Arabidopsis thaliana: one gene and its partners. The protein of the gene in region 3 interacts with the protein of the main gene of each other region in a pairwise test. Each region holds a gene or a part of one and is shown on either strand. Other genes may lie near its edges. The genes, in order: AT3G13175, AT4G30500, ABCG20 and AT5G52420.

Region 1 (5,239 bases), about 16 Mb from region 3:
GACGAAAACAGTGTTACTAGAAGGCCAAGAACACAACAAAGAGGGATGCATAACTAATATCCGTATAAAAATCTCAATACGTATTCGTTTAGAAGAAAAACATAACTAAAACATTATACGTTGCTTCCAAATTCACCTTTGAAAGCTGATGGATGCATGTAGTAGATATCTCTTTTCGAAGCATGTCTATTTTCTTGCAGAAGTTGTTGGACTATCAACAATACTCTTAGCAACATATCTGAAAGTAAAAACACCGCAATGTGATGCTATATTAAGATAACACTAATGTACTTGTAGAATTATCTGAAACCTGACTCACCGATTCTGTAGGTTTGTGGTTCCTTCTTAAGAGTGAAAATTTCCTGACCCTTTGGTTTATCAGAGCTGCATAAGCTATAGACAGCAGAATAAAATGGTAAATTCATGAGGTCTTAGTTTTCAATACTCGTTGACGTTGTGCTTAAATCCTTCAAAAATGTCTCGAACCAAAGACCAAACACGTCTGATTCTTCAATCAAAGAAAGTGAAAACAAAATTGAATAATCGAGATCGAAGAGAGACAAACCAATCAGCTTCTGGATTCATGCAATAGTTCCTGAATTGATTGATGGAAATTTTTGGAGATCTTCCTTCAGCCAGATCTACAACGACCGATTGAGTAAAATCTGCTCAAAAAACCGAAACATAGTGATGAACAACGGAAGAGCCAGCGAAGTCATCGACTAGAAATTTCGACATAGATTAGAGGACAAATTACTCAATACGATTCGGAAAATTTTGGGATTTTCTGATACCTTTGATCCTTTGAAGCAAATTAGTCGATTCTGAAATAGCGAATTTTCCCTCCATCTCTTTCGAGTTTCAAAACTGAAAAATGCAATGGTCGACGAATTTTTGTAGACGGGAAGAAAAGGGATGGGTGCGAAAAGCTTGCCGTTAAAACCTTCGAATTTAAACATGCGTGTCGTTTAGTTCCTACTTTCCATGACGTTGGGCCATTGGCATTTAGGCCCGATACGTAACTGACGTGTCATTTTAAAAACGCATGTGTTTTTAAACACGTTGGGCCGTTGGCTTTTAGGCCCGATCCGAAACTAGGCAAAGTGATTGTGAAAAAGATTCATGATAACAATCAAACCAATATAAATCGATTTATTCAGACTTGGAGACATTTTAGTGATGCCAATATAAAATAATCATGTGCACTAAATTTGAAATAATTAATGTGTATGGTAAACTAGATTAGAATTAGTTCTAGACTTCTAGTGGTCGAGATTTGTTCATAAGCTTTATGCTCGGACACGTGAGGAACATACCAAAATGTTCGAATCTATTATGCCATACACTTATTTTAATCATTTCTTCTCTATGATAGATTGCTCACCTAATTTATATATAATCTAAGAATATACTACTTAGCTTTAACGTATTTTATCCGATAACGAATTCATGATACCAAAAAAGTTCTAAAACAAAAGAGGCATCTTGTATTATTTATAGTATTTCTAACTAAAACACAACACTGATAACATTTAAATTGCTTTGTTCCGTTTAATTAGTAAACAAATGAAAAGCTGTCGCGTCGGTGGTTGGGTTTCATTCGGAAAGATTTAAAAGTAAAGCGCACGGATTTTAAGGTCGTTCAACATTTAAATTTTTTTTGAAAGTAAAATCATATATCAATGCAATGTGTAATCTTGTAACGTATAAACTAATGAGAGATACCTAAAGAAAAGAAGCCTCGCGCCTAAACAGAAACATAAGATTAAAATAAGTAATATAGAAGCATAAACTTAAGCAAGATTTTATTCCTCGTGAAAATATTACATTTTGTAATTTTATTTTCTCTAGTATTAAAAAAGGAACAACTAATTAACGGAAATACTTAAGGAATTAAGAACAGAGAGGTCTCATACTTAGTCAAGTTTGGTGAAGCTATCAAAGAGAATGTCTTCGTGTTGTCCGCCGACGACATAGTCAAGAATCCCTTCCGCCGCCACTTTTAAGCCTGCGCCTTCGCCTGGGATGATGGTAGACGAAACCGGGAGATCGGAGGTGCGTGCGAAGAAGAAAACGGCAGCGAGAAAGAGAGCCGTGGAGAGAAAAAGTGGCCAGAAGTAAGATAGAACGGTGAGGAAACCGGGAGAATAAGCGACGAGAGCTACGGTGAGGAGAGATAAAACAAAGGCAAACACGATTTGCAACTTGAACTTCAAAAGCTTCTCCCGGAACTCCATCTCCGATCACCGACAAAGATCTGTGAGTCTGTGACTGTTGTGTTAACACGAGAAAGATGGAGTGAAGAGAGATAGAGATATATCTAAAAGAGAGATAGTACAATGCTAACTCTCTCTCTGTCTTTCCTCTGAGTGTCTATACGTAAAGAAATAGGAAAGATTCTCTGTGACAAGGATAACGTCAAAATCTCAAGTTATTTTGTTTTTAAACGCGTTTGAAAATTATACTGTTTTTCTTCTAACGAAAATGATAATATATTTTTAAGATTTTTATGTTACTTTGTTCTGTGACTTGTATGAACATTTTTTTTTTTGTAAAGTTGTCGTAAAAGTCAAAGAATGAAACATTTTCTGACATAAATAGTAAATCGTACAAAGCTAAAATAATGATAAGAGAGATATTTTCAATTCAGTTATAATGTTGTCCGTTTTGCATGATTGAATTTTTAACTTTGGATTCAGGCCGACCAAAATATGGGCCTTTAAAAGCCCGATTTGGGTTGCTAACAGACGACTACTCTTTTGTTAGAACTTACACGAGCCGCCGTTTCTACTTTCTAGCTCTGGCAAAACGGCGAGGCATTTTCTTTAAACATATCAACATACAATTAGCAGCATCTCTACAAGTTTACACTTCTCTCATAAAACCCAACTCTACGAATAAAAGAGAAGGTGTTTTCATTTATCCTCTTCGTCTAATTGCATCCAAACTCTCAGCAGAGACAAATACAGCTTGCTTTTAACGTCACAAGGCTCGAACCAGACGAGCTGCAAATGCTCCATCTAGTGAGTGTTTCACTGGGTTTGATAAAAAGAAGCCTTGTGAGGTTACAAAACTCGACGGTACAAAACTGGTTACTGGATCTATGGTGAATTCCTGTGAAAGCAGAGAGACTATTTGTTAATATCAACATCTGAAGGAAAGCAAATGGATTATAAAGATTCTTACAGGATGTCTTAAGAGAAATGCTTCGACCCTTCCTTCATTTTCCTCGGGGTCTATGGAGCAAGTACTGTATACCAACACCCCACCGTGCTTCACCAGTCTTTGAGATTCAATCAAGAGTGTCACAGATAAAAGTATCAGATAAGTCGCATATTAGTGTTTCAGAATTAATCAAATGACTCATCAAAATGTATGTACAGAGTGCATACTTGGAGGCAGAATCAAGAAGCTCATCCTGCAGTTTAGTGAGCTCTAACATGTCCTCAAGTTTACGGTTCCAGCGCAAATCCGCTCTCTACAAAATACAGATTAATGGGAACAGGTTAATCAGATCAGGTCAATTCAACTAGCAATGTTAAATCTTGCTGGCGAAACAGTTAGATAAACTTTTCTCATGTTAACCTTGGAGAGGACGCCGAGTCCAGAACACGGGGCATCAAGCAAAACTTTGTCATATTGTACTTCATTGGTTTCCTAAAACACATTAAGTTGGAAGGAAGCATGTGAGTAGCTTACAAACTTGGAAACTTCAGATACTCAAATAATGTTAACTTACAGCAAAGACACGAAGATCAGAATGAATGGTTGTGATAAGTCCATCAACTTGGTGTGATTTTGCTGTCTCACCAAGAATTCTTAGCCGTCCTTCATTCACATCCATAGCATATATCATACCTATAATCGATTCGAGTTTGCCAGTTTGAGGATGGAATCAGTCAAGTATAGTAGAAAAGTTTCTCAAAATAGATAATTTAATTCAACATTAATGTACAATAGAGGAAAATAAGGGGTCTTTGTAATATTACCTTGGCCTTTCAAGCAAGATGCCATGAATAGGGTCTTTCCTCCAGGAGCAGCACATGCATCCATTATCCTCTCGCCTGGCTGAGGTTTCACCACTGAGACTATTAGTCCTGCAGTACCAGATGTGGGGAGATATTTAGATATCAAAAGAACAAAAGGATTTTGGATAAACTTAAATCTGTTAACAGCATGAAAAATTAATGAAGAGGAGACTGTATCTTTTCTCAGGAGCAGTCCAAATAATTACAAGACCAAACTGACCTGCACTCTCGTCCTGAACAGAACAGATGCCTTCTTTGAGTAAACCAGCTTGCACAACGGTCTGTTAAAGAAAAGGCCCATGATCAATTATGAAACTTATCAGTAAAAAAACTAGGATAAGAAAATTGCCAACAAGAGGACAATTCACGGTTACATTACAACACCTGCAAGCCTGTTTTGATGCGGACAAATTCCTCCAAATGTAAGGATAGCTCGTGTGGAACCTGCAGCATAGGAAAGCCATAATTGAAGTAAGAAACTAAGCATTATAAGAAACAATCATGTGCCTGGTTTTACACAAACACGATGATTTCAACTGAATAAAGAACGAGAAACATTAAACGAAAAAAACCTTTAAACTGTTTAGACGCTCCACAAGGTCTGCTCTTGTAATGTCCCTTCCCGTATTGGCCCTGATATTATTAGAAATAGTATTATCTGTCTGACAGCTAATAACTTATCTTTCCTTCTGTGAATACAAAATGTTATGGAGATAAACCTTAAGCTAAATCCAGGATCATTGTTATTCCATATCATTAGCTTTGTGGCTTCATCCAACCCAAGATACTTTACCCATCGTCTAACCATCCACTAGGAAGGAAAGGAAACAAAATGAGAGTTTCTTTCATCAAACAGGAATGAAGCCTTATCGCAGTTGTTCAGCAATACATAGTTGTTCAGCACTACATAGATATCCTCATAGCTAAAACCAAGTAATCTAGGAGCTTCACAAGTTCAAAGTATCGATTTCATACCACCAACTAGCTCTAGCTTCGAATTAAAACAGCATGGAAAGATGAGGCTGTAGCTATACAAACTTACAACGGGATGTGAATGAAGAGTAGCAAGTGCACGTGCCTGTGCACGATCATCCCCTTCCACTTTGGGTAATGGAAGGGCATCTTTTTCCTGCAGATCCCTACGTCAGAATTCATAGAAGCTTAAGTTTGTTTGATTAAGTACAACTAAAAAGAAAAATGGAAAAAAGTTT
Region 2 (6,188 bases), on a different chromosome or scaffold from region 3:
GTAAGATTTTAGGATATCTTCATTTTGAAACCATGGTTACATGACAAGTTTTGATAATCTTTTACCTTTCACGTTCTTTTCAGAGCAACGGTATCGGTGATCACTTATAACGGATATTTCCAGGAGTATACGCTAAGTATCAATAACAAGAATGAGTCTCTATGGACACTGGAACGTGAATTCAATCTCTTCTCCATAACCACCGGGTGATGTATACAACCAAATATCAAATATATGAAAGTACTGGGCAACTTTTTTGTATGTAACAATTTTTGTACCTTGGGTTCATTAAGAATATGTTTATAGTCTCATGTTCTTTGGTTATTCGCAAATATAATTAGCTCTTCCGTGCTATTACTGTATCTTAATCTTGATTTGTGTTGAAGAAATGAAATACAAAATGGTTTCCCAACTCTTTCCATCATATCCCACTTACTCCATAGTTACAGTCAAGGCTCTTTAGCTATGAATCAGAATTTTCAAGTCAGGATCATTTGTCGGTCTAATGGCTCACAAGTCATAACATCATCATAATCCAAAGAGCAAAAGTCTTTTATCTTATGAGAATTCACTGTATCCTACTCAAGACTATTAGTCTACTTCATCTTAACACATCCATTAAGTCAAAATAGTGTAAAGACAGGTACATTACAAAGTCAAGAGTATTTACCCATTGATTTGCATTTTGTATGTTTGAAGAAAGATTTGCTAATTGTGTTTGCTAAAGATGAATGTTTAAGACATTCATCGAGATCTTGTCTTAACGACTTGTCCTCTAGAAGCTTTTCTCTCCATCTTCTCCCTCTTTTTGCGAGTCTTCTCATCCTCAACACCTCCCTAAGTTCAGTCATATAGACAAAACACAGTCCATTTTAAATGATCATGTTTTATTTCCCCCTTGTTCAAAGCACTTTGAGAGTATTCAAGACAAAGTGATTACCTCTGAACCATGTGACAATAGTCCCTTAATAAGACCAGAAGCTTTGTATGCTCCAAATGCAGGGATCTAAAATAAAAACAAGCAAAAGTAAATGGTTGCATCATTCCTACAGAGCAAATCTGTTGTTTGCCTTAAAATATGGCAATAAAGAAAATTGAGATGGGTATCATACCACTAAATACGCGTACCAAAACTTTCCAGAGATGATAGATCCGACCTGCACAAAGCAGGTGATGTAGAGTACATCATGCAAATATCTGCAAGGAAGAATAGAGCATCAGGCTTATACTATAGAATCTACCATAAATCCAATCCACCATAAAGATGACGATTATGTAGCAACTGATAAACGATAAAACTCGGAGAAAGCCACAACTAGTAAAACATCACTCATTTCAAACAACTGATAATGAAACAGTCCTCCTACTATTGCTTTTGGTTATGGAAACAGAATCCAACTATACAGAAACACTTGAGACAAAAGCAGGCACTTTCTAGTTGATCAATTTAAAAGACAAATCTTTCCGAACGTACCCACACATTCCAGGAGTGCTCATGTCAAATCCACCATCAAGAAGTTCACCAGCATCACTAACACTAGGCTTTGCCATTTGATGAAGAAGCTTATATGGAATCCCGTAACCTAACGATGTTAACACAAGACCAATCCAATTTTTCCAGGTATGACTTGAATGCGAAATTATAACCCTCACTAGGACATACAAAATCTGCAAACACATATTGCCAAAAACATCAATCCTCGAATTCATCGAAACAAAATCAGCTAAACATTGAAACTTTCGAGACCTAAAGATCAAATTCAACGGATTTTTAGTTCCATATTGATACAAGTAACGTATCTAAACAAATCTAAGCTCAACGGATTAATGTATTGAGAATTTAAGAAATGAGGAACGAGGAAGTTACGTTGCAAAGGATCATAATGAGACGGAGCTTAGCCATGTGTCGAGCGTTCTCATCTTTCCTCTTCTTTGCTCCTTGATTCGCCATGAGTTAAAAGAGAATGATCAAAGAGACGAGGAAGATAGTTTTTTCAGTTTCTGTAATTCTTCTTTTGCTTTGGATCTTCACAAATGGTGTGAGAGAAAACTTTTAGGTGTCTAAGCTTGTTTAATCCAATTATATATTGACACCTGTACCTTTTTGTCGTCCTCTTTTCTCAAATACTTTTTTCACGCAGGAAATGTTTTGTTTGGCTGCGTGTCGTAATTACGCTTTTCCTTGGGTTTAGGACAAAGATTCTTAATTTGGGCTTTCGTCTATCCTTATCAGTTGTTGTTGGAAAACTGAAACAGTTCTATCTAAATGGGCCAGAACAACCTAAAAGGCCCATAAAATCTGACATCTTAAGGCCTATCAACAGAAAACTGCATTATTTCAGTTTTCCAATAACAAGGTCTGTGTGAAAATCACCGGCGCTCGGAGAAGACATCAACATAAAACCTTTTACCGCTGTTCCAAAAACTAAAAAGTATACCATTTCTATGATCAATCGGTAAAACGATATTTATAACGGAACAAGAACAAAAGTAGTGTAAATTTTTTTCCCTGTTTTATGTTGTTCTATAGACAAAAAAAAATGAAGATATCATATCTTGTGGGCCTATATCCAATATTTGAGTGTAGCCCATATTTGGATCAAACATCACGTCTTACACAATGGTTCTCGGATATCCCAATCTGAGTATGGTTTTAGGTCAATTCAACATAGTATTATTTTGTCAACAAGCACCATTATAGCAAAAACAAAGATGTATCAAAGAAAAGTAGCGTTAGGGGTTGGTCAGAAAAAGACATGTTTGCAGTGTAAGAAATGACGTGGACACGTGGAATCATACGCAATGCAACATGTCATCATTAAGGTCCATTGTTCAACTTACCCATTGAGAACAAAACTAGAAAAATTATAGACCGTTGGATCATCTTTAAGGACCATGTCTGATTCACGTATCTCTCTCCCACTTGGAATATGCTTAGCCTATGTATGGGACACATTCGCTAGGTCCACCAGTATCCTGTACGCAAACGCAACATCGAGAAGCTTCCGTTTCCAATATTCTATACTATAATTACAAATGTTAAAAATTGTTTATAAAATTTGTAATTTGACTTGTAGACATCATTAGGGTAAAGATATATCAAGAAATTACTTTTTTCATAGGAATAAAAATAGTCAACTCTCTTAAATAAGGGACAAATACAATCCTCTAATGACCTGGAAAACAACTATGCAATCAACATTAACAAATGTAATTAGAAGTACAACACAATCAATTTTGGTTAAAAAATTGAAAGTATATAAAAATAAAAAAATAAAAAACGTGTCTTAGTTGATAAATAACTCATTAATCACGCCTCTATCTCTCTGTTTTAAGAGTTTAACAGTTAAAGATCTTCTTCTCTATCTTCCTTATTTGACTACATCTCCGTTTATTCTTGGGTCTCTCTCTATCTCTCTTATCCAGATTTATCATCGTCATTACATATAAACATCAAACTTAACTTTTCAATATTCTCATTCACTTTTTCCTCTTGTGCTCTAATTCTTATCCGGATCCGATTTCTCTCATACAAAGATTCTGTTTTTCTTCTTGGGTTATTGTTCTTGCTCTGTTTCCGTATCTCAAAGTTTCAGCTGCTGAATTGAATTTGCATTGATCGTAGATGAGACCAATCATTAGGTTATCATCTCTCAGTAGAATTAGATGGGCTCTAAGGAACAATCAAGAACGTTATTCTTCAACTTTCTACTCCAAAAGCCGCAAACTTTTGATCGGTGTCAATCAAAATCAAGCTCTGCTGAATACAAACACTGATAATTCAAGTTTGTATTCAAGGTCAAGTATCTTTAGAGGCTTATCAGCAGAAGCAGTAGAAGCAGCTGATCCTGCTACTACTAGGGTCACCGTCTCAGGTTTTGTTTCTCTTTGCAAAGAAATTCTATCAATCTCAGAGTTCGTGTTTATTGGTTTGCTGATATTTGTTGAATGATGACAGATGTGAATAGAACAGGTCCTCTTGTTGAGTATGAGAGAAGAATCAGTAATGGTGAACTCATGACTGGTGATATCTGCCAAGTATGATAAAAATAATAGCCACTCTTTTTTACTTCATTGAAGCTTTTGAGCTATAAGATTAAATGTGATTCGTGTTACTTGCGGCTTAAGGTTGTGTTTGAAATGTTGTAGATTAGTGCATTGAGAGAGCTTCAGAGACTATATGATGAGCTTGTGGATTCAGTAGATACATGTCGTTTAGATCGGTATAATACTTCTGATAAATCCTCAAGGTGATTGTTCTGTTCTCTTAGCCTTGACACCTTTCCTTCTCTGTTTAGGATTGAGAACTTGAGTCTCACACAACTGTGTTTTTGTGTAATACAGAAGTCGTTGGTTTTGGTCTCGGCTCATGCCACAGACTTCTTACTCACCCGTCAAAGGATTATACCTTTATGGAGGTGTAGGTACAGGAAAAACCATGTTGATGGACTTATTCTTTGATCAACTGTAAGTTTGTATGATCAAATTCTTATCCTTTTTTTTCGAGCATTGCGGTTTCATGACAATTCTCTTGTTTCATTAGGCCTTGTACTTGGAAGAAGCAGAGGATACATTTCCATGATTTCATGTTGAGTGTTCATAGCCGCTTGCAAGTATGGATAATTGAGTTTCCATTGTTTCTCTATTGATTTTAGTAGGAAAAGCTTTAGCCTTTTGAGATACGTTGTTTGATTTCGGTTCATAATGTTTGCAGAAGCACAAGGGTTTATCAGATCCACTTGAAGTTGTTGCCCAAGAGATAGCTCATGATGCAATCTTACTATGTCTAGATGAGTTCATGGTATGTACACTATTTCATATATTTATTTTCTTGAAAGTGATCATCTTTGGATCAACACATCTTGATTTTTTCGGCTACTGTTTCTGTTATTATAGGTAACTGATGTTGCAGATGCTCTAATACTAAACCGACTCTTTGGACATCTGTTTAGCAATGGTGTTGTAAGTGTCATCTTTACTTACATTATGCTGCTACAATCATCTTAAAACTGACTTTTGTCCATGCTTGCTATATAAAATATAGATTCTTGTTGCTACATCGAATCGGAATCCTGATAAACTCTATGAAGGAGGACTCCAAAGAGATCTGTTCCTACCTTTCATTTCTTCATTGAAGGTAGTCTAATCTACTATCATTAGTCCACTTTCAGTACCTTTTTAATTCAAAGACTGCATCAAGATTTCCATTTTCGCAGGAACGAAGTGTGGTTCATGAGATCGGTTCAGCGGTTGATTACCGGAAACTAACTTCGGTATTGCTCTTAATCCCATTAAAAACTCCCTAGACTGGCTTCAAGGTAGAGCTGAGTTCAATAACTGGGACACTTCTTCATTTTTGCAGGCTGAGCAAGGATTCTACTTCATTGGTAAAGATCTTTCGACCCTTTTGAAACAGAAGTTCCGACAATTGATTGGAGACAATGTTGTTGCCCGTCCACAGGTAGTAGAAGTGGTGATGGGAAGAAAATTACAGGTACAGTTTATTATACCAATCTCTGTGTAACTCCAACAACACTTGTGTTGTCTGTATATAAGTTCTTCATCAGACCAAATGCTGCTTCATGAACAGATTCCATTAGGTGCCAATGGATGTGCATACTTTCCTTTTGAAGAGCTATGTGACCGACCTCTTGGAGCTGCGGATTACTTCGGTTTGTTCAGTAAGATACTTTACTTTGTCTCTCTCTCATCTGCAAATCTTGTCTCTAAACAGTGCTTCTTCTTCTTCTTGATGTTGCAGAGAAGTTTCATACTCTTGCCTTGGACGAAATTCCAGTGTTTGGGCTTCATAACCGTACTGCTGCATATAGATTCGTCACGCTAGTCGATGTATGCAATTCCTGGTTCTTGTTTTGTTCTTATAAGATGGCACTACCAAACCATTTCATCAAAATCTGATAATGATGGTTTAAGAATTGCAGGTAATGTATGAGAACAGAGCGAGGTTGTTGTGTACAGCTGAAGCAAATCCTCAAGAACTTTTGGAAAAGATTATAACAATCTCAGAGGCGAAATCGATGGGTCCAAGAACATCATCAAGATCAAGAAAGAACGATGTTACTGAGCTCTGCGTGGATAACGAATTAGGTTTCGCAAAAGACAGAACCATCAGTAGGTAATGTAATAACAGACTCTGTGATTAACAACTAAAATCTATTAGTTTCATT
Region 3 (7,391 bases):
AAAGCTCAGAATTGCTCTAAGCTTTTTACCCCACATATGAAGCTCAAAATATGAATTTCTAGGTAAGTTTTTTGGTGGCTCTCCTATTGTATTCCGTATTTGCATTTATAAGACAATTTTCGAGAAGTCCAAATTCACAACTGACCTGTAGCTGCGACCTCGACTGTAACTACGGCTACGGCTTGGGCTCCTTCGGCGACGAGGGGAGCGGGATTTGACTGGTGACCTGGAATAGCTTCCACCCTGCCTGGAGAATTATAATCCAAAAGAGATATGAGAAGAAGCTTAAAGAATAGAACAAACTGTGGAAAAACAAAGATTCAAAGATTTAGTACCTGGCCTTCTTTGGACTAGGACTGTTTTTGCAGTTTCTCTCAATGTGTCCTCTTTCACCACAGCGGTAACATTTATTCTTCCAGTCTCCTGCTGTGCAGTCTCGGGCCCAGTGGCCATCGACACCACAATTAAAACAGCGACCAGAACCAGGAGGTGGGCCTCTGCTACCATTGTCCCGCGAACCACGAGGAGCCTATCATAAATTCAAAAGTTTGGCAAGATATCAGTAATTTTTCATCCAAATTATCAAGCCAATGGAGAATCGGTAATACAGACACAAATAACTAACCCCTCTTGATGCCTCCACAGTGATGCGACTTCCATCGAAATCCCGTCCATCCAAGTAATATCTTGCGTCATCAGCATCACGAGGATCACTAAATTCCTGTTCTCAAAATGTGAGGGACAATGATAGATGCATAACATATATATAAAGTTTGTGCGCATGACAAACTTGAGAATCAAACGCTTGAATAAAGGAAAAGGGTAATATAAGACTTACAACAAAGGCATAATCACGCTTCATATCCACATCTCGTACTCTGCGTAAATTGTTGCCAGAAAATCAAGGCCATCATTACTTAAGGAACTTCCAAACACCAGTTTTTGAGATTTGAGGCCATTTCCAATAAAAACATGCAATAAATCAACAAACAAAATCGCCGATGCACCCTCTATACACCAGACGAGAATTTCCACCAATTACACCACAGTCCACCCATTCATCAAACATCTCCAGGTTAGGCAAACCCCCAGAAACCTTCAACAAGATCATTCAAGTTAAAGAAAAAAAAATCCACTAAACCTAGCTCCACAATTTTCCCACATGTACCAATGCAACGTTATAAGTAAAAACTACCCTCTTTGATTCTAATGTTAAACTTTAGGTATATATCCCCTGCACAACATCAAAGAGGAATCATTCCAGATTCACACCAAAGAACAATTAACAAAAAATCCAAACACTTATCTCCCCAAGAATACAAAAGTCAAATTAGGTCAGTCAAGACAAAGGAATATGACTCTTTACCTTCCGTATCTGCTAAAGAGACGCTCAAGGTCTCTGGTACGAGTTCTAGATGATAAGCGACCAACATAGAGGCGAGTGTTTCCATAGCGATCATCATAGCGAGGCATTGTCAAGCTGCAAAATATTTTTAACATAAGCTATTAGGCACATATGTATATATATATATATATATGCCAATCACAAGAAAAAGAATAACAGTATCCTCTTCAAATTATATAAACAAGAAAAAGACCAGAGAGTTAAAACACTACCTCAGACCTAAACATAGAACCCATGTGAATATCTATGATTTTTCAGCAGAACACAAATCCAAAAACAAAGAAACCAAACTGAATAACACATTCAGAGGCGAAAAGAAGAAAATTTCGTGAGGGGAGAATATAAATCTCTAATCAGATTAGACAGAAGGAAACCTATAAAGGAAATCTACGGCGAGGAAACGAGAAACCAATTGAAATCCCTAATCTAGAGAGCGAAGAACAATAAAATCGTAACCCTAAACAGATCCAATTACAAAGATTCTTCCTCGTACCTGGAGAGACGAAGAAGGAGAGTGCAAATACGCAGTAACCCTAATAATTTCGAAACGAAGGAAGTGAACCGCGGATGATACTGCGATTAGTCTTCAACCCCTATCTTATAACTTGGAAACCGACGAGATTCAACGGTAGCGATTTGTTTCAATCAACGGTTTAGATTTCACGGCGAGATAAACGTCGATATTACCGATATAGAAAATAGAAAATTGCACACTTTCCAATTTAGTACTTTTATTGGGCCTTATATCAACTCTAAAGCCCATTAAAGATTTAGCAAACATATGCAATTTCGTATTAATCATAAGTATTAAGTACATCATAATCATTGGTCAAGTTACTCTAATAATTTTCTGTTTTGTAAATCAGCGACGCTTGTTCTTGCTTCCGATCAAGAGTGTGAAGTAGAAGAGAACCCTAAAGAAGAATCCCCAAGCTACAGTGATCCACAAGCAATTCCATTTGCTTATCTCCGTGATTCCTTGCTGTTTCAGTATATCGATTCCCGTCGTTACGCAAGTCTCCGCCGTCACGTTGATCCCCAAAACGCCGCTCATGCTCTTCAGGAGGCTGATTTTCACGGCGGTTGGAACTTGTCCCAGCGGCGAATTGTCGAACATCTGGATCCCTCTGACGAAGCATTTCGTCGGATCTTCGAATTCGTTCTGTAGAACACCTTCGTAAGGGTATTTCACTAGGGAGAGGTAATGGAACCAGATCCAGTAGAGTGGGATTCGATCTCTAGAGATGAAGAATCCGGAGAAGAGGAGGAAATAAGCGAGGATTGCTACAACCACCGTGAATCCGATCATCACGTGTGAGACTACGCCGGATAAGAACGTCACGAAGGAACTTCCGGCCCAAAACGCGGTGAGGATTGTGAAGAAGAAGAAGAGGAATCCCTCGGAGCCTCCGGCGAGTCCTACGGCCGAGAATGTTGAGGCGGCGAATGCGGCGGATAAGATTATGAGAGCAGGGATGGAGATTATTGTGTGAGCGAGGACGTATGATGATCGCCGGTAAGCGTTGTAAGCTGTTTCTCTCATGAATATGTAACGTTCCTGTAGAAAGACTGGTATTGCTTCTGCACATGTGTAGAATGTTGTGGACATTGCGAATGCGAAGAACCCTAAGCGTTCTTGTATACCTCTTGGTGAATTGTCTAGTTTCCAGAATATTGTGGCTAGGATCATTCCGGTGACTAGTACAGCTCCTAGGCGGATTCCGAATAGCTCTGGTTGTCTTCTTGAGTTTAGTATAGATCGTTTACCAATTACGAGCATTTCAGTCCAGAATGGGTTTGCAAAGGTTTGAAATGATGATCTTAGGTTTGTTGCTCCGGAGACAAGCTTACCTCTCGAGATACTTGCGCTGATTGCATCTTTGAGAGATACATTGGTGTTTCTTCTGCTCTGGCTTGAGGTTTGCTTTGCTCGCCATTGCTTGTGGAACTCGACTAAGGATTTCGTTCCTTCTGGCGAATCTTCCAGCTCACGGATAAGATCGAGTGCAAACTCCGGCTTGTTCTCGTTTTCAGGAATTGGGTGACCGAATTCTGAGAAGAACTGAGGGAGGTGTGTCGGGGAGCCGCTGTAAACGGTGTTTCCCCTAGATAGGAAGATTAACTTATCGAGTAATCCCAAGATTCTGTAACTCGGCTGATGGATGGACATGATAACTATGCTGCCGCTTTGTGCGATTCTCTGAAGCACTTTGACAACCATGTATGCACTGGTAGAGTCAAGACCAGAAGTTGGCTCATCGAGAAAGAGAATAATCGGGTCATGGATTATATCGGTTCCAATTGAGACCCTTCTCCTTTCTCCTCCAGACACACCTCTGTGTCCCTCATCACCGATCACGGTTTTTGCTGCGTTCCTCAGGCCGAGCTGATCAATCAGAGCTTGAACCCGTGCCTTCTTTTTCTTCTTAGAAAGCGAGCTTGGAAGCCTGAACTCAGCAGAAAACATCAACGTCTCTTCCACGGTGAGCATCGGGAAGAGAAGATCATCTTGCATCACATAAGCTGATATGACTTTATGCAGGCTAGATTCAAGAACTTCCCCATTTAAAGTAATATCACCGCGTAGGCTCTCTTTTGAAATCCGATTGGCTAATGCATCGATAAGCGTTGATTTCCCTGACCCGCTCGCTCCAAGAACAGCCATCATCTCTCCTTCCCGGGCTTCACCAGAAATACCATTCAGGAGCACCTTAGTATTCATCTCCATATCATTACCATCAAAAGGTGAATTCCCACAACAAGGAAAGGGCTTAAACTTCTTCTTGATCTTCACGCTGTAAGTCAAGTCTTTGAAGGAAAGAACAAACGGAGAAGAAGAAGGCACACGAGAAGACGGAACCGAGGACCAGAAATTGGACGCAACCGCAATATCCATAGCCCGACTCTGGTCATCCCCCTCATCTTCCACACTCATGAGAAGTTCTGCAAGTGTGACAGACACCCGCGCAGTGTCTCTGTGACATCTCTGAAGCTCCACTGACTTGTGGATATTGTAAAACAGAGGGAGGCCATCGCCATTGACCCGTTTGGCCGGAGATAATATACCGAACAAACCAGACATCACGTGAATTATTGTCTGGTTAATGTTTTGGCCTCAGGTAATGTGTCTAAAGGTCTTACCCACAGAACAATTTTGATCGACTTTATAGGATATTTGGATGGGAGAATGAGGGAGAAACTTGTCAATTAGTTTGGTGATCTCTAAGTATCTAACTTTGAGTTGTTCTGGGTTTTGTAGCTTTTCATATTTACATGTACATAGCTTTTGTTTATATTTTCGTATGTATATAAATTGTAAGTTACGAGTAGGTGAGGAGTTGGGCAAATCCATCCACATTTTTCCGTTATTGTATGTATTTTTTCTTGGGGCTTAAGGTACTCTGTAAAAAAATCCTATTTTAGGTGGTTTTTGTTTACAAAGTGGAAAAGTTTACTCCATGGAATTACGTGTTTATTTCATCTGTATATAATGTATCCGGAGTTTATGGAATTGCAATAAGTATAGCTTATGTAACATGTCAGGAATAGAATTTCTCCTTGCACATGTATGTATGTCACGAATTTCTTAATCTCCTTTTGTTTATTATAGTCACGACCCGCGAGTTTTCTATAATCACTTACAAGCTCTAAGACTTGTTTTTTGGTGCGTGAGACAATAATTGACTAGGGGTTAATTGGATTTCCAACTATTTTGAATCAGTGAATATCTTCGTACAGTAACTAAAGCACGCTACGAATATACTGTTTGTTGTATCAAAATCAAATCATCCAACATTTTGAACATTTATTTAGCGGTTACTAATTAACTTTTGCAATTAGTTAATATCAAACACATAAGATATTCTCATAATTAGGATTTGGCATGGTACTATACTAAGATTGTACAAAGGCATGCCATTATGCATAATGAAGCTAATGGCGTGTTATCTTTCAATTGTTTGTTTAATCATGCACACCATTTTCGTCATATAAAAAAGCGTAAGTGAAGCCTATTTCATTTCAAAAAAAAAAAAAAAAAATTATAAGGATCATTGATTTGTACTTTTGTAGTTGGTGAAACAAAAAGGAAATGAATGTGAAAATTATGGCAGAAAAACGTGCAGATGTTCGGCTTTGATGTTGTAGAGCTACACACGAAAACACAACAAAAATTGTCATTAGGAATATGTAATGGAAACTTTATATAACGTGATGAGTTAGATTTAGGCATATGGAAGTTTGGTGTAGCTGTTATATCTGTTTTCTTGATTATTTTACTTTTGATAACCCATTTTTACAAGAGTTGTCAAGAAATAATAGAAAACTATATACTTAGTATCATCAGCTTGTCTCTATCAAGTTGAACTAATGATTTATCCAATGAAATACATAACATTTCTTATGGAATGTACACTTTCACACAGAGAATGAGTTTATATTATTCTGGTTAAGTTTAGTAAGACTTTCTTTATGTAAAGATTGTTTTGAAATTTTGTGTTTGGTAGAGGATATTTTGCTAAGTTTCCCAACATAATTTTGTTAACACTTTGAGATTTATCAGGTAGGACTAGATCAAGGAATTGAATCCCTCAGGTTTGAGATTTCGTTCAATGCTAATATTTGTTAAATCGTACGAGAAATTTTTACTCTCGTCTGTTGAGTAACAGCATGAGAGAGTTTTCATTCAAAAAAAAAAAAAATAGCATAAGAGCATATCTCTAGGCATAACATTTTGTGGGCTATTAAGGGGCCAAACTTGGGCATCCAATTGTTAAAAGCCCATATTTTGTAAGCCTCGAGGAGTTTTTTTTGTTTGTTTCCACATTTGCCTAAAGTTTTGTATATGTTCATTGAATAATATACAAATCAAACGCAAATCACATTAATGATCCCCTCAAGAATATATATATAAAAAATTGCATATATTATTAAACAATTAGTGAAATTACTTAATTAGATTATCTGATAATCACATATAGATTTTAGAAGCGAAACATATATATTTGCTCTATAACTAAAACAAAATAAAAATAAAAAAGAGAGCGAAGGATTGCATCAAGTAATCGCCGTGTAACTAACTACTTTTGCATTCACCATCGCTCTTACGTTTGAATCTATCCAGATCCAAAGCTCTTCTTCTTCCCGGCAATTCTGAGATCTCATTTTCACCGGCGACGAGCTTTAATCGGAGAACGATGAAGCAGCTTCACAAGCAAATGAGCTCGAAGCGTGATGAAGAAACCATTCCCATGAGCCAATCCAGTCCTTACTCTCCCAAAACTTTAAAGCATCCCAGATCTCTTCCCAGATCGCTTCACTATCTCTTTCGTGAACAACGACTCCTCTTTATCCTCGTCGGGATCTTGATCGGATCCACTTTCTTCATCCTCCAGCCTTCTCTCTCTCGTTTAGGCGCCGCTGAGTCCACCTCGTTAATCACCAGATCTGTTTCCTACGCCGTCACCGATTCCCCGCCTTCCAGGTCGACTTTTAATTCCGGAGGCGGCGGAGGTAGAACCGGTCGTGTTCCCGTCGGTATCGGACGGAAGAGACTGAGGATTGTTGTCACCGGTGGAGCTGGTTTCGTCGGTAGTCATCTTGTTGATAAGCTTATCGGTAGGGGAGATGAAGTGATCGTGATTGATAACTTCTTCACTGGTAGGAAGGAGAATTTGGTTCATCTATTCTCGAATCCTAGGTTTGAGCTAATTCGACACGATGTTGTTGAGCCAATCCTCCTTGAGGTCGATCAGATTTACCATTTAGCTTGTCCAGCTTCACCTGTTCATTACAAGTATAATCCAGTCAAGACTATCATATCCTTTTGATTACGGGTCGTGATTTGCAAGTTCTGATTCTAAATCCGTTATACAAATTTAGGCAACATTAGGTTGGTGATCATTGTTATTAGCATCCTGTTGATAGGCATTTGACAATTGACGTGCAGCTTAGTAGAATCTCTTACAATTATTGTGATATTTCGTGA
Region 4 (5,676 bases), on a different chromosome or scaffold from region 3:
TAGAATATAGTATCTTGAAAGTTCTTCTTTCTTTCCCAAGCAAGATCAAATGAGCATGAATAGATCTTACACAGTGAGATAGAGGCAAAACATTTCTTAATTACATTGATTAGTGAAACTCAAAAACTTTTATATTGAAAAATGTGACAAATCAAACATATGAGAGTTTAGCTCTTCAGATTATTTACTGTTTTGAGTTTTGTTTTTGAAGGGATTGGGCTAAGGATGAAGCGAGAAGAGCAAGAGAACAAGCAAAAGTGCTAGAAGAAGCTAGAGGACGTTGGGAGAAGTATGGCCTAAAAGTGATTGTTGACAGCGACCTCCATGAACAGACAACAAAAACCGAATCTACTTGGCTGAACGCAGGAAAGCAAAATCATGTAGAAGGAACCATGAAAAGAGCTGGAAATCTGATTGCTAAGCTGAAGAAGATGGCGAAAGATGTAGGAGAGAAATCCAGAGAAGTAATTTACTTGATCATAGAGAAGATAAGCCTTCTGATATCAGCCTTAAAACAACAAGTTCATGGCATGGAGAACAAAGCCAAAGACCTCAAAATCAAAACTAAGTCTAAAGCAGAGGAAGTGTGGAGACAAACGAGCTTGAGGGCTGATGAGATCAGAAATATCTCTATAGTGAAGGCTAAGGAGACTGTGGAAGAGTTTAAGGACAGAGTCGGTAAACTCGGCGAGAAATTCAAGTCGAAGTAGGTTTATGCGGTTTGGTTGAAGATTAAGATTTGTTAGATAAAGATGCAAAACAATGAACTGTCTTAAATTCCAAAACCGGAAAGCTATGAGCCCCAACTTAGATAGATGACTACACTGATTATATGATTGTGGTCTTCGCCAGTTTTTACTACTACCACCATTTAGTCTTTGAATCCATTCTACAAGCAATTGAAGAATAAATATGGTATTGGATCAACTTCAAATTTTGAAACATGATAGGAAATTAAGTTGAGTCTCACTAATTTTTCTTAATATCTGACCATATATTTAAAATTAGTTACCAAAACCTTGGCAGTAAATTTTTAGTTAGATATGATAAAAGATACTATTGTTTTGATTAAAAAAAGGTAGAGATGATGAGATTTCTATGTTGAATTCAAAACAATAAAATAAATATTAGCTAAGATATCACGAAGTGATAAAGATGAATCTTTGATTAAATCACATTAAAAGTTGAAAAACGATATCATAAGAGATTTTGTGTTCTCTATATGTAACGCTATCTGGCAACATTCTTTCTGCTTTCCAATAAGGTTCATGAAGAATGGGTAACACAATTTCGAATGCAACAACGTTATCATACGGTGAAACGACATGCTCAAATCCAACTTCTACGATTGCGAGCAGTTTCACGGAACATCCTCGCCTTCTTGCTATTCTGTCAAGATTGAGAATCTCGCACAACTTAACAATGAAAAATACCAATCTCGTCGTTTCACGGTAGGCGGGTATTACTGGTATGTAGCTATAATCTTGCTCTTATATATTACCATTTATGTTTTATGAGACATGTAACACATATAGACCATGATTTTACTATGTACACATTAGCTCCTGAAGGGTTAAATTAAATCTTCATCATAAGAAAAGAACATGAATCTTTCTTACTTTATGCAATAATATTTCTGTTAAAAAGAAAACCTGCAGGAAATTGATTATATATCCAAAAGGGAACGACGAGGACCATGGAAGTGGTTATATTTCAATGTACGTAGAAATAGACAGCACATCTGAAGTTTTTGCATATGTCAAGTTCTTCGTCTACAATAAGAAAGAACAAATGTACTTTACTATTCAAAGTTGTTGGTTTAAAACATATCTATATTATTCAATATTTATATTAACTATATAAGACTTGTTCATTTGTCACATATGTCACGTTGAATTACTCCATTTTTTCTAATAGATACTGAAGTAAAGCGTTTCAATGCTTTAAGAATGGTATGGGGATTCTCTCAAATGCTTCCTCTCCACTTATTCGAAAATCCAAAAAATGGATATATATTCGACGGGCAAAAATGCGAGTTTGGTGTTGAAGTGATGGTTGTTCCACCCCTTACCAATTGGGAAGTGATGTCTTTTGATCAGAAACTCTCACCATCCACATTCTCCTGGAGTGCCAATGGTTTCTCCTTATTGACAGAGAATCTTTATGTGTCAAACAACTTTTCAGTTGGAGGAAGAGAATGGTGAGGCTAATAAGTCATTGAATATATATACACGTCTATGTATGCTAAGTGTATACAAAATAATGTGACTTTTCTATAGGTGTTTGAAGATGTATCCAAAGGGAAGAGAGGCAGATGGCAAATGGTTGTCCTTATTTCTGCATATATATAGCTGATAGTGAAACCTTTTCGGAGGATGAGAAGATTTACGTGCATGCAGATCTCCGAGTATTATACCCACGTCCACATGTATACAACAATCACGTCACACAGAAACGTATAATTAACTTTGAAACACAATTTTCTATATTCTTGAATAAATCACTTAGTTGCTTTTTTCAAGTCTTAACTAAATTTTCAATACCTTACATATATTTATTTTTCTTGCAGTTAACGTCTGTTACAAGAAATCAACTCAAGGGTGGGGTTGCGAAGATTTTGCGGCTATAGCCATCGGGAGTGTAATTACTTGGACAATGACACTTTGACATTGGAGGTCGAATTTAAAGTTGTTTCTACAACCAAGTATTCTCACCCATGATCTAAGCTCTTCTTGTAGAATATCTACAATATTCCATATTCTACTACAAGTCTAGTAATCTACAATGCCTTGTTTCATACGATTTCTAGTAATTAGTTCCTTTTTAGTTAAATCAATTCTACAGTTTATGGTTCCGGATTCATTTCCTGCTAACTAATTATATCATTTTTTATAACTAGTAATCATTGAAGCTTATAATTGAAATCTATAACTACAAAGCCTAGTGCACTTACGTCCAGAAAGCCAAAATAATTAGGCTTCCTATTAACACATATATTTATATGTTTCTTAAGAACTTTTACGAAATTACCTGCATGTAGTTAAAATAATAAAATCTAAACTAATTGTGAGCACAACAATAATCCGCCACGTCTTCTAAACCTCTTCCATTCAAAACTCTTCACTATCCGCCACGTGTCCCCTTCTTCACACTCTTTTTATCTTCCTCCACCTCTAAAACTTTCTCACCACATTTTCCCGAGAAAACAAAAAAAAAAAACTTACACCAAAACGATGTCTGGAGGTGTCGGTCCAACGTACAACGACATAACCTTACCCAAAGAAGAAGAAGAAGAACATCAAACCCAATCCACCTCAACAGTATCATCCACCGGAAAACCCGCCGGATTCTTCTCATTCCGACAACTAAACATCCTCGCAATAATCATCGTTCTCTCCGCAAGTGGTCTCGTAACAATCCAAGATTTCATATTCACGATCCTCACTCTCATCTACTTCTTCTTCCTCTCGAAACTTATCTTCCCACCACACAACAATCCAAACCGTGACGCTCCTCTCACAAGCTCCACAAACAAAATCTTCCGTATCTATGTTACAGCGGCGGGGATCGTCGGGCTTATCATTCCGATCTGTTACATCTTCGAAGGAATCGTTGAGGATGATAAGAACGGTGTTAGCGCAGCTGCACCGCACGTGTTTCTTTTAGCGAGTCAGATTTTTATGGAAGGATTAGCGACCATGTTTGGCTTCTCTGCTCCGGCGAGGATTCTTGTTCCGATTGTTTACAACGCCAGGAGGGTTTTGACTCTTGTGGAGTGGATTATGAGTGAGTTCTCGAGGGAGGATGTGACGGGGACGGTTTCTGCGCGGCGGATGTATGCCGGGAAAGTTTTGGCGGCGGCTAATTTAGGGATTTGGTCGTTTAATCTCTTTGGTGTTTTGATTCCGGTTTATCTACCCAGAGCGTTTAAGAGGTATTACGGTTCTGATAAGGAGGATTGAAATCCCGGTTTAGTTCCGGTTCCAATAAGGAGAGTCAAAACCCGGTTTAATTCCTTTGTGGTTCACAGCTCTTGTTGTTTTCCCTTTTTGTTCTGTATATTATTTCGATGTTTTCTTTTGAACAATTCAGTTTATGTAGTAGTTCACAGTTGTATTAGATTTCTTACGATAATAACCGAATCTATGTTTCTGAAAGAACAGAAATGAAAATGTTTTAGTAATGATATAGAATAAGACCATTCACGATCTCAGTTCAAACAATATATTTGTATGAAACAGTAAAACAAGAAATAAACAATTTATATCAATGTAACAAGATTAGATGTAGGAGCTGATCCAAGAATATTCCAAAGTTTCCAACTACATGAGTACAGAAGTTAACTGCAAATCAAAGCTTTAAGCTTATTTATTCAGTGTGTATAAGTTGTTAGAACCCAAATCTCTTACCTTTTTTCACGATCCATGTTCAAGGTTTGTTACTTATAGGGTTTTATATCTCTGTCTTTGGTAATGAGGAAGAAGAAGAAGAGATGTCATTTTAATTTGGTTAGCTGACTCCAGATCGTAACCCCGGGAAGAAACTCCAGCTGTTTCCTGCAACCTTCTCGATATTCTCGTCTTTCGTGTTGTCGAATTTAAATTCTTTGCTAGATCCAATCGATGAGGAACTCAGCTTCTGAATTCTATGCTGTTCGTTCTCTCTGTCTCCTGACCTTTTCTCTATGTTTCTTCTTATGTCTGTTGATGAACTCTCCTCTGTTTCGATCCGGTCATTGTTGTTCATTCTGTCGTGTGATCGATTTAGCTTGCTTGCAAGACAACGTGCAACGTCTTCACCTGTTAACTCAAACGAAACTCTGTGATCTGCTACCATGACTTCAGAGCCATGATCCGAATTTGCCAGTGAAGCGACCTCAGAGATCTGATTTTGAAGAGGCCATGTGGTATTGTTGGGTGTTAAGTTTCCAGATACTATCTCTGGACCATTTGGTGTCAGAGCGCCTGAAGCCAAACCTGAACCATGCCCAACAGGTGTGATCGATCCAGAACCGAACCTCGATCCCCATTTACGAGCTGTAAAGTGCTCAAAACCCAAGAACTTTGGAGGCTCGCCTATTCGAAACTCAACCATGGGTGATTTACCAGGGTAAGGAGAAGATGTACCAGAGTTTGAAATCACTGACCCGGGAGAGATTAGATTACCACCACCAGGACTCCCCGGACACACCTGATTAGACCGAAACTCATAGTGCGAAGACGAAAACTTTTGATTCATCCCACTAGTACTATCCCTCCGAGTTAGCTCCAACGAAGAAGTAAGCAACTGAGCAAAGGGCACTTCAGGTGAAGAAGGTGTAGTTATATGGACTGATGATTCAGGAGGTGGAGTATACGGTGCAGTAGATGGCTCAGTTATAAACGCAGAGAACACCGGAGGAGTGACTGGTTGAGTTTCATTAGCATAAGGTCCAACGGTAAAGACAGATTGAGGCTCCTTAGGCGAGAATGTATTGCTAGTAAGAGAAAGTGGACCAACAGGCGAGTGAGAAACCGATGAAGGATCCGATTGCAAAAACGAAGCTGGAGATGAAGGAGGAGCTATAAAGGGAAGAACAACAGTAGTTGAAGTAGCTGAGTTTTGAACAGTAACTACCGGAACTCCAGATGTAACCGGTTCAGGTACAAGCACAGCATTACCAATCCTTTTATTGTT

What was found.
Region 1: the proteins of ABCG20 (region 3) and AT3G13175 interact in a protein complementation assay, tested with the Arabidopsis thaliana proteins (one large-scale study listed by BioGRID).
Region 2: the proteins of ABCG20 (region 3) and AT4G30500 interact in a protein complementation assay, tested with the Arabidopsis thaliana proteins (one large-scale study listed by BioGRID).
Region 4: the proteins of ABCG20 (region 3) and AT5G52420 interact in a protein complementation assay, tested with the Arabidopsis thaliana proteins (one large-scale study listed by BioGRID).

What each region holds. Positions count from the first base shown.
Region 1 is NC_003074.8:4,233,344-4,238,582, forward strand, and holds AT3G13175 (uncharacterized protein), read right to left. Parts: upstream 2,472-5,239; 5' UTR 2,238-2,471; coding exon 1,917-2,237; 3' UTR 1,732-1,916; downstream 1-1,731. Other genes in the region: ATSPO11-1 (Spo11/DNA topoisomerase VI, subunit A protein), read right to left, coding at 137-238, 320-393, 566-665, 795-849; AT3G13180 (NOL1/NOP2/sun family protein / antitermination NusB domain-containing protein), read right to left, coding at 2,983-3,114, 3,187-3,283, 3,393-3,478, 3,586-3,657, 3,740-3,858, 3,990-4,097, 4,249-4,309, 4,413-4,472 and 3 more.
Region 2 is NC_003075.7:14,899,321-14,905,508, reverse strand, and holds AT4G30500 (transmembrane protein (DUF788)), read right to left. Parts: upstream 2,159-6,188; 5' UTR 1,952-2,158; coding exon 1,868-1,951; intron 1,669-1,867; coding exon 1,475-1,668; intron 1,198-1,474; coding exon 1,113-1,197; intron 1,007-1,112; coding exon 941-1,006; intron 838-940; coding exon 745-837; 3' UTR 501-744; downstream 1-500. Other genes in the region: ATG18B (autophagy 18 B-like protein), read left to right, coding at 84-210; AT4G30490 (AFG1-like ATPase family protein), read left to right, coding at 3,626-3,875, 3,959-4,038, 4,150-4,250, 4,345-4,467, 4,544-4,613, 4,715-4,801, 4,897-4,962, 5,045-5,137 and 5 more.
Region 3 is NC_003074.8:19,835,035-19,842,425, forward strand, and holds ABCG20 (ABC-2 type transporter family protein), read right to left. Parts: upstream 4,950-7,391; 5' UTR 4,488-4,949; coding exon 2,268-4,487; 3' UTR 2,114-2,267; downstream 1-2,113. Other genes in the region: RS2Z32 (RNA-binding (RRM/RBD/RNP motifs) family protein with retrovirus zinc finger-like domain-containing protein), read right to left, coding at 146-247, 336-529, 626-721, 839-878, 1,367-1,473; UXS1 (UDP-glucuronic acid decarboxylase 1), read left to right, coding at 6,601-7,209.
Region 4 is NC_003076.8:21,278,584-21,284,259, forward strand, and holds AT5G52420 (uncharacterized protein), read left to right. Parts: upstream 1-3,189; 5' UTR 3,190-3,233; coding exon 3,234-3,962; 3' UTR 3,963-4,223; downstream 4,224-5,676. Other genes in the region: AT5G52410 (oxidoreductase/transition metal ion-binding protein), read left to right, coding at 212-710; AT5G52430 (hydroxyproline-rich glycoprotein family protein), read right to left, coding at 4,510-5,676.